Linked DNA regions of Macaca fascicularis. The protein of the gene in region 1 interacts with the protein of each later gene in a biochemical or structural test. Links are inferred from orthologs where the notes say so. Each region holds a gene or a part of one and is shown on either strand. Other genes may lie near its edges.

Region 1 (4,274 bases):
CGGGGCCTCCCAAGGTGCTGGGAGAACAGACGTGAGCCACCGCGCCTGTCCCCTTGTGGGTGTTTTTAAAATTAGACACTGAGACCCCGACTGAAGAAGATAGGCCATGGGGCTGCTGTTGTCTAATATTTCTCAGAACTCACCCGGCTTGTATGGGCAACGCAGCCCGTTTTCACTCTTCTTTTTCTTTGCAATCTCCACGGTCCTCCGTGTCGCTGCCTACCGTACTGGTTGGAAGGTCTTTATTCTTTGACTCTAGGTGGGGAAAGCGAGAACGAGGCTTCGCCGCACCTGCCGCAATGCCCAATCTTCCACTGGCATTCCAGGCAGCGCTTTCCAGCCACGTGAGGGATACCTAACCACTGGAACTAAATAAGATGTGGGGGAAGAATTGAGGTCATCACCTAAATTGCTTGATACTCTCTTTTCCAGAAGACAAGCCTCCTTTCTGAGTTAATGGCAGAAAGTGAATCACTTCTTTCTTTCTTTTCTTTTTCTTTAAGACGGTGTTTCGCTCTTGTCGCCCAGGCTGTAGTGCGATGCCGCGATCTTGGCTCACCGCAACCTCCGCTTCCCGGGTTAGAGCGATTCTCCTGCCTCAGCCTCCAGAGTAGCTGGGATTACAGGCATGGGCCACCACGCCCAGCTAATTTTGTATTTTTAGTAGAGACGGGGTTTCTCCATGTTGGTCAGGCTGGTCTCGAACTCCTAACTTCAGGTGATCCCCCTGCCTCGGCCTCCCAAAGTGCTGGGATTACAGGCATGAGCCACCGCGTCCGGCTAGAAAGTGAATCATTACTGTATTTGATTGTACGTGAAGCCCTCCGTAGTCCTGACTGACATCACGTCTCCTTTGGACCTTGATTACACTCCGCGTCCTTCATCTGACTCCTCTCTTCAAATTCCTGAGTCACGCTCTGTTTATGTTGCTGTTCAGGAGCGAACTGCGGCGCGGCCCAAACACTGTGACGCCAGCGCGGGAGGAGGGCCGCGGGAGGGGCAGCGGAAAGCGCAGAGGGCACGGTGCAAGCACGAGACAGCTCTGCATTGGCCAAAGGGATCCCAGGAGGCCTGGGCCTCTTTTCCCCTGAGGCTGGATCCCAACCAGCAGGAAAAGGATTTTCGCCTTTTGTATTTGTTTTGGGGCCAAACCAAGAAAAACAGTGGAGGGGGAATAAAACATGTTTAAAATTGTTTTTGTCTTAAAACCGTCTTTCACAGTCACAAAATAAAACACAACTAGAATGTTTTGATGTTTGCAATGACATCGATTTTGAAAAACGTTAGCCAGAAAGGAAACGCAGTTAAGACAGCACTCGGCCGCCCCCTGCCCTCGGCGCCTGGGGGGCGGGGCGGGGCGCGCAGGGTGACGTCACAGCCCGACGCGCCACCCAACTGTTTTTGTGCTCGCAGCTCCAGCGAAAAGCCGCCGGTATTTCTCCACCTGGCTCTCCTCTATCTCCGGGCAGGCTCACCCGAGATTCCCCCCCACACCGAACCCCCTCTGCACGCTCGGCCCAGCGCTGTTGCCCCGGGAGCGGACGTTTCTGTAGCTATTTGAGCACACCTTGACGTCGGCGGAGGGAGCTGGACAGGGCCAGCGGCGAAGGAGGCAGGCCCCGCGCGGGGAATTTCGGAAGCCCTGCGGTGCATCATGAAGTTCCAGTACAAGGAGGACCATCCCTTTGAGTATCGGAAAAAGGAAGGAGAAAAGATCCGGAAGAAATATCCGGACAGGGTCCCCGTGAGTGTAGAGGAGCGGGGGGATGGGAGGGGAAGGGCCCGCGGGGGCGGGGGCTGGGAGTCGAGATGGCTTCCCTGGGGCGCCCAGGCGACTCTGGGGAAGGGAGGTGCCGATAATTAGTTAATCCTGAACGCCCTTCAGTGCCCGAGCCAATGGACGTCCAGACTGCGGAGCTTTTAAAACCACATATGCCTGGGGCCTGAACCCCACTTCAGGGCTGACGGTGTTTTTGGGGCCGAGCTGCCATCTTCAGTGACTCAGCAACCCACACGGTCTCAGCAATACTGAGACCCTGTGTGGGTTGAGGTGCGCAAAATAGCGCCCCTGTGTGCGAGAGTGGTTAGATCAGGGCCGTGGATTGGCTCCCTTTAAGAACGCGGGGACACTGTGCTGTGCGGTGAGGTTTGCGCAAACCCGGTCGATTTCTGCCTTGGCTGGTTCTCCTTTAATGAAGTTGACTTTGGCTGTCATATCATTGGGCTTGGGAGGAAAAGGTTCAGAAGCTATTCGGTTCTTTTCTTGCATTACAGGGGGGTAGGGGAGCACAAGACAGTCCGGGCCTGAAAAACAAGGTCACGTTCTCTGCGCAACAGCCCTCATGCCTCATCGTTCTAGGCTCCGGGAAATGTGTGGGGACAGCCAGCCTCCCCCGGTATTGATTTCTGATCACCTGGCACCTGCACGCGATAAGGCAGGACTGAGACGTTTTTTCTGTGTTTTGGACACCGGCTTAAGTAGTTAAAACTAGCGCAGGTAGTGAGTAGGAACAGAGAAGAAACATTAGGTGTCTTTCACCATCCGGGCGTTTTCCCCATTACCCCCTCCCCCGCCCCTTGCCTGGTGTTTCTCTAATGTGGGCTGCGCAGCCGAATTGGAGGGCAGAGTATGACTTTTAAGTGGTAAAGGGACCAGCAGCTGTTGGATTTTGGAAATGGAGGAGCAGAGATTTTTAAAATTGTGCTCTTTATCTTCAGGTAGGAACATCAGGATTACATGTCACATCATGGTAAAATAATTGCTGTTATCTGATGTCTTATCTTGATTCGCAGCCACTCTGGGTTTCTTCTCTAATCCTTACCTAACGTTCGTGGTTTTATAGCTACCAGAAGCCAGCAGGGCCTTAGCCCAGCAGTAGAAACCTCTTGTACCCCTTTTCCTTTAAAAAAAAAAAAAAAAAAGTCATTAGGGCTCTTCCATTCCTCAGAAATTACCAAAGGGTTTTCAGTTTATAGAGGGGTGAGCTAATCCCTTACTCGGTAAAGGATCCTTTACAAAATACTTTGCTGGTTTCTGGACCTTGGATACCTGAAAATTTTGCCGAGTTCTGGTGATACCAATCTTTAGAGCAATGATATTTAAAAAATACAGTCATATTTTACTAATAGTTTACAGTAGCAGTATAAGTACTCAGTCTGTAATCATTCGCTTAATCCTTACACGATTATAATCCCCGTTCTACAGACGGAGTATTCAAAGCACAAAGAAATGCGGTAACTTCCTAAAGGTTTCACATTGCTGATCTGTGTTTGAGCCGGAATTCTAACCCTGTCTGACGGACTGTGGAGCTCTCGGAGACCTTAACCTCCGTGCCATACTGTTTCTCAGTTTCTAATATAGTTGTTATTAACCAGAATTAATGACGTGCTGTGGACTTCACACTGTTAAGTATTGGAAATAGATAAATACTTATGTGTATTCTGAATATTTCAGTGCATTCTGTTCTTTTCATGCTCATAGTTTGGTGTTAAATGTTTTACTCCTGTGATAATTTTTAAGCCATTAAGACTGTCACTCAGATTTCAGCTTCCCTAGGGTTATGTTTTAACCAGCGCTGAGCTGCTCCCAAGGTGCTCAGTCTGTGACCTTCTTTCTAGTTATGACGCAGGTTCCTTGATTTGGTTCTAGTTCTGGGAATTCACTGCATCCTTGGGCAGAACTTTTAATCTTGCTGTGCTAGATAGAGTGCCTTGTTTACAGAAAAGAGGGTTAGAGTAGTGGTTCCTAAAGCCCATTCCAGCTTGACCATTGGTGTTATTCAAGCAGTGGCGTATCCTGACTGCTCGCATAACCAGAGTTTAGTCCCACCAATATTTCTTCAGAGCTAACAGTTGAAAAGAAGAGGTATGCTTGTGCCTTCAGAGAGGAGGGGTTGGTGGGATCTTGAAATTATCTTCAAAGACACAACATATCAAAAAGACTGCTAGAAACAGATTGTCTATTTTAAAAATTCATAGGTCTATTGAGTATTAGTCACATTTTACAAAGAGGAAAACTGAGACCCAAAGAGGCAAAGCATCTAGCCCAGGGTCTACCATAGTGAGGAGTAGAGTTGGGATTCCTGGAAATTTAACCTTGGTTCTGGGAAACCAATCCTTTAATAATTACCCCTCCCCCTTTTCTTCCTCTCCAAACCCCTGCCTTCCCTCCAGGTATTGCGGTCTGCTTTATCACTTTCTTTTTCTGTCTTCCTTTGTGGTTTTTCTCTTTTACTGCTAGGTCTCAGAGTTCCTTTGGGGCACAGTGCTAGCCT
Region 2 (4,278 bases), on another chromosome or scaffold:
GAAAATAAATAATGTAAGTTTATTACATAGTGAAACTTAATGCAACAAGAGGACTAAACTAAACTTGTATTAGCTGCTAACAGTCAAGTTTAATCTGGGCAAATATTCACATTATTCAACATTCTCTTCAAATTCATTTCCTTTATTTAGCATTATCTTCATATTTATTGTTCTAACCGCCAAGAAAATTCTTATAACTCTACATCTTGACAATTTCTTTCTTTCTTTTTCTTTTTTGAGACAAGGTCTGCTCTGTCACCCAGGCTGGAGTGCAGTGGCGCGATCCCGGATCACTGCAACCTCTGCCTCCCGGGTTCAAGTGATTCTCTTGCCTCAGCCTCCCAAGTAGCTGGGAGTACAGGCGCATCGCCACGCCCGGCTAACTTTTGTATTTTTAGTAGAGACGAGGTTTCACCATGTTGGCCAGGATGGTCTTGAACTCCTGAGCACAAGTGATGCGCCCGCCTTGGCCTCCCAAAGTGTTGGGATTACAGGCATGAGCCACCGCGCCCGGCCCATCTTGACAATTTCTGACAAAAACAGGTAAACTCATGTAGCAGCTGTATATTGTTATGTGAAAGGTATCTATACATGGAATTTAAGGTTAAAAGTATACCCACAATATGGATGCATGCAGTGGTCAAATTACAATGGGATGAGGACTACTGGGATCAGGTTAGGGGAGAGGACCAAAGAGGGAACCAAGCACACTTTTCTTGAGTATTCTTCTTGGCAGCATAATTTGTGCAGGCTTGCCAGGTTACCCAATGGGACAGCTGCAAGGACCCAGTGCAACTGAATTTGGTGCACCGAGAGATCTCACTGCATTAATTATTTTCTCGGTAATTAGATGTAATTATTGTGAAATGTAGCGAGGAGCTTGTCTACAATAAAAATCAAACAAGAATTTCCAGAAGTATCCCTAGTACTGCGGCCTACACATGCCAAATGGCTGGGGGAAAAACATAACCGATAATTATAAACAGAACTAGAGAGGGAAGCGTGGGCAGTTAGAAAGTAATACTTCAAACGGATTCACACGATGTTTGGATGTATCGTTGGGAAAGCCAAAGAAATGAGTCAAATTGGATCAGGGCAAACCGTATCGAGGGCAAGCGAGGGGCGGAGCACTGGGCCAGCTCGGAGGGACTCGCCCTTCCCCAGGCTAGAGCGGCTCCGGCCTCGCCCCCTCGCTCTAGCCGAACCTCCTCCTTTTCCCGGTCACGGGGCTCTGGGGTCAGCCCGGCCTTCGTCCCCAGCCCCGCCCACCCGCCGCGGCACCAGCCCCGCCCGCCAGCCCAGGCCGCGGCAGGCTCCGCCCCCCGCCGCGGCGCCCGGCTCCGCCCACCTTCTCTGGGCTGCTGCCGGAGGCAGGCGACTGGCGGCCGGGGGCGGGGCGGTAGGAGCAGCGCTCCGAAGCGGGAGGGAGATCCGCCGCGGAGTTACGGGAAAGTTGGTCCGAGTTCCCAGAGTTTCCCTCTGTGGTTCCTTAGGCTCGGCCAGCCGGTGCCCGGTCTCCTTTCCTCCTTTCGGCCTTCGCAGTCCACCAGGTCCCTCTCTCTGCCCCCGGCCGCCATGGAGCAGCCGCCGGCGCCTAAGAGGTAACGAATCGGGGAGCGGGAAGAAGGAGGGAAGCGGCGCCGGCGGCCGCGGGGCGGGGGTGGCTAGGCCAGGCCCTGCTGCGACCCTCTCCCTGCCCGCCGGGCCCTGAGCCGGGCGCGCCGAGGTCGGGAGGCGGGTCCGAGTGTCCCGCCGAGTCCGTCTACGGGGCGAGGGGGCCTGAGGGGAGTGGGAGCCGGAGCCTCCCCTGCGGCCGGCGGGCCTGGCGCGTGGAAAGTCGGGTGGGCAGCGCCGGGCTCCCTGCGGCCTGACCTCCCGGGGCGGGTGGGGTGATCCCTCGTAGCAAGTTCACAAAGTCTGGGAGACTTAAAACCAGGGAATTATTGGTCTTCTTACAACCACGTAGACTTTCTTGTCAAATGTTCTGCATAATACTGCCTTTTGTTTTTTTTGAGAAGGTGGTTTGCTTACGGCTTAAGGAATTAAATATTAATAGCTACACAGTCTGTAAAACATTGTGGATGTGCTGCTCTGACAGGTGTTACTCCGCCTAACCCCTCAAGTTCAAAAGTATTTATGGATTCAAGACAGTGGGAAGTTTAAATTAGAACCCCCTCCCCCAATATAGATTTGCGTGTAAAAATAGTGCTGCTTTGGTATGGTATTTACTGTTATTAATGGTTTATATTTAATCTTTGATACCTGTGTTGGAAATGTGTGCATACAAGAGTGGGATGTGTTTGAGCTAATATTTGCGATGATGTTAGGAAGCCAAATCTGGGTTGTCCATTGACAGAAGTTCATAATATGCATTCCTCTCTCCCCAAGAATGAGTTAACGAATTGTCTGATGTTGCTAAAACATTTACTCAGTCTTTCATTTTTAAGTTTTAAAATAAGGATAGTAATCTCTCAGATAGTGCTGTTGTGAAGATTAAAGAGATCGTTTGCTTTGACAGCTGGAGATCTTTAGATGAAAGGTGTGTTCAAGAACGTAGGATAATTGAAAAGGTAGGAACTTTGGGGGCTATTGTGAATTGTATGACTAGACAAGTGAACCTTGAGGCCTGGAAGCCATCTGTTCAGGTGAAAAAAGGGGGGAGTCGTGAAGGAGTTTCCAAAAGGGACCTGCTGTCAGAGCCCTTGAGTAAGTCAACTGATAGATTATTTTCTAGCATTTCGTAAGTTACCTGCATTCGACTCACTGGGCACCGTTTTAATACAATATAAGAGAATTGGGCACTTTTTTCTTTTCTGGAAGAACTGGAAGGAGCACTTCTGAGAAAACACAATAGGCCGTTGGAGCAACTGAATTGAAGTGCAGCTCTCTATTGATTAGCTGTACTGTAAGTTATCAGAGTTTCATTATAGGTGTAAGAGAATCCTTGCCCTTGTAGAGACATTAGAGAACCTGGAGGAGTCAGGGGCAGGTGTAGGCGGTAATTCTGTGGTGATTTATACTTTTCAAAGTGGTGGTTGCACATTTAACATACTTATTTTTAGCTTATTCAGAGAGTCTTATTTTGAAGTAGTGAACAAAAATGCCACAAAGGCATTTTGAAAAGGCAAAAGGTATGTGACAGCAATCCCTTATATTTGAATGTCTCAACATTTTAAGAATTTTCATATTCATAATATTTAATCCTCACAGCAACCCTATGTAGTAGGTTGGATTATAGGCATTAATCCTAATTTATAGATGAGGATGTTGAGGGAGTTTGCCACATGGAAGGCTATGACAGGAATTACTGGCAGTTTTGTCCCTATTGATTATTATCTCCTAATAATGAAATATAGCTACTCGTTTTGAGGTCATCCTGTTTGCCAGGAAATTTAAATATACATTATTTAAATCCTAAGAAATAGTAATCCTGGCACTGCTACTTATTATGCTAGTTCTAAGTTTAATTTTTCCATCTGTGGAAATGTATTGTGAGGATTAAATGAGGTGATATGTAAAGCACTTGGGACAGAGTAAGACCCTGTCTCAAAAAAAAAAACAAAAACAAAACAAAAACAACAAAAGATAATGGGGACTAATTTAATAAATATTTATGTATCACAACTGAGCTTAAGAAATAAAATTTGACCAATATATTCGAAGCCCCTATGTGTTCAACAGTGTTAGTTGTTAACTTATGTTTTCTTTATTATATGAGGCTCAAAGAGGCTAAATAACTTGATCAAGTAGAGAAGGTGCCAGAATTCTGCATCTGATTGGCTACAAAGGCTGTGCACCCTCTCATTGTATACAGTGATGGCTCTTTTCGAAACTGTCTTTCTTATTCCATGATGTAGTGGTCCTCTTTTTTCTGTAATCTCCTGGTCTCTGTTGCTTATTCTGCTCATAATGCCTATAAAAGTGCCATTTTGCTTTTCTGCCTTGAATAACACTTCCTTAGTGCTGACTTTTACATGGCCTTATCGATGTTGTTGATGTTCGGGTATGACTAGAAGCTGCTGCTCAGTTGGCATTTTTCATTTTTTAAGGTAGGTCTTACTCTTTCATTAACCCATCTAGTTTGTCACTACAGCCTATCAAATTTTCTATTGAAAAGTTGGTGGATTAATTTTTTCTCTTTTCTTTCTCAAGAGTACTACCCCATAAAACCCATTCCATGGTTTTATGACCCTCACTTTTGAATTGCAGCAGTACCTTCTAGCTGGGCACTTTAGTCCAGTGGTTTTCAAAACTATTTTGTTTTGTTTTATTTGTTTT

What was found.
Region 2: the proteins of GABARAPL1 (region 1) and STK3 form a complex in vitro, tested with the Homo sapiens proteins (2 studies listed by BioGRID and IntAct). The link is inferred for Macaca fascicularis from reciprocal best matches to the Homo sapiens genes GABARAPL1 and STK3.

What each region holds. Positions count from the first base shown.
Region 1 is NC_088385.1:10,692,595-10,696,868, reverse strand, and holds the start of GABARAPL1 (gamma-aminobutyric acid receptor-associated protein-like 1), read left to right. Parts: upstream 1-1,397; 5' UTR 1,398-1,654; coding exon 1,655-1,744; intron 1,745-4,274. UniProt on the Homo sapiens protein: Ubiquitin-like modifier that increases cell-surface expression of kappa-type opioid receptor through facilitating anterograde intracellular trafficking of the receptor. Involved in formation of autophagosomal vacuoles.
Region 2 is NC_088382.1:108,435,499-108,439,776, reverse strand, and holds the start of STK3 (serine/threonine-protein kinase 3), read left to right. Parts: upstream 1-1,393; 5' UTR 1,394-1,575; coding exon 1,576-1,601; intron 1,602-4,278. UniProt on the Homo sapiens protein: Stress-activated, pro-apoptotic kinase which, following caspase-cleavage, enters the nucleus and induces chromatin condensation followed by internucleosomal DNA fragmentation.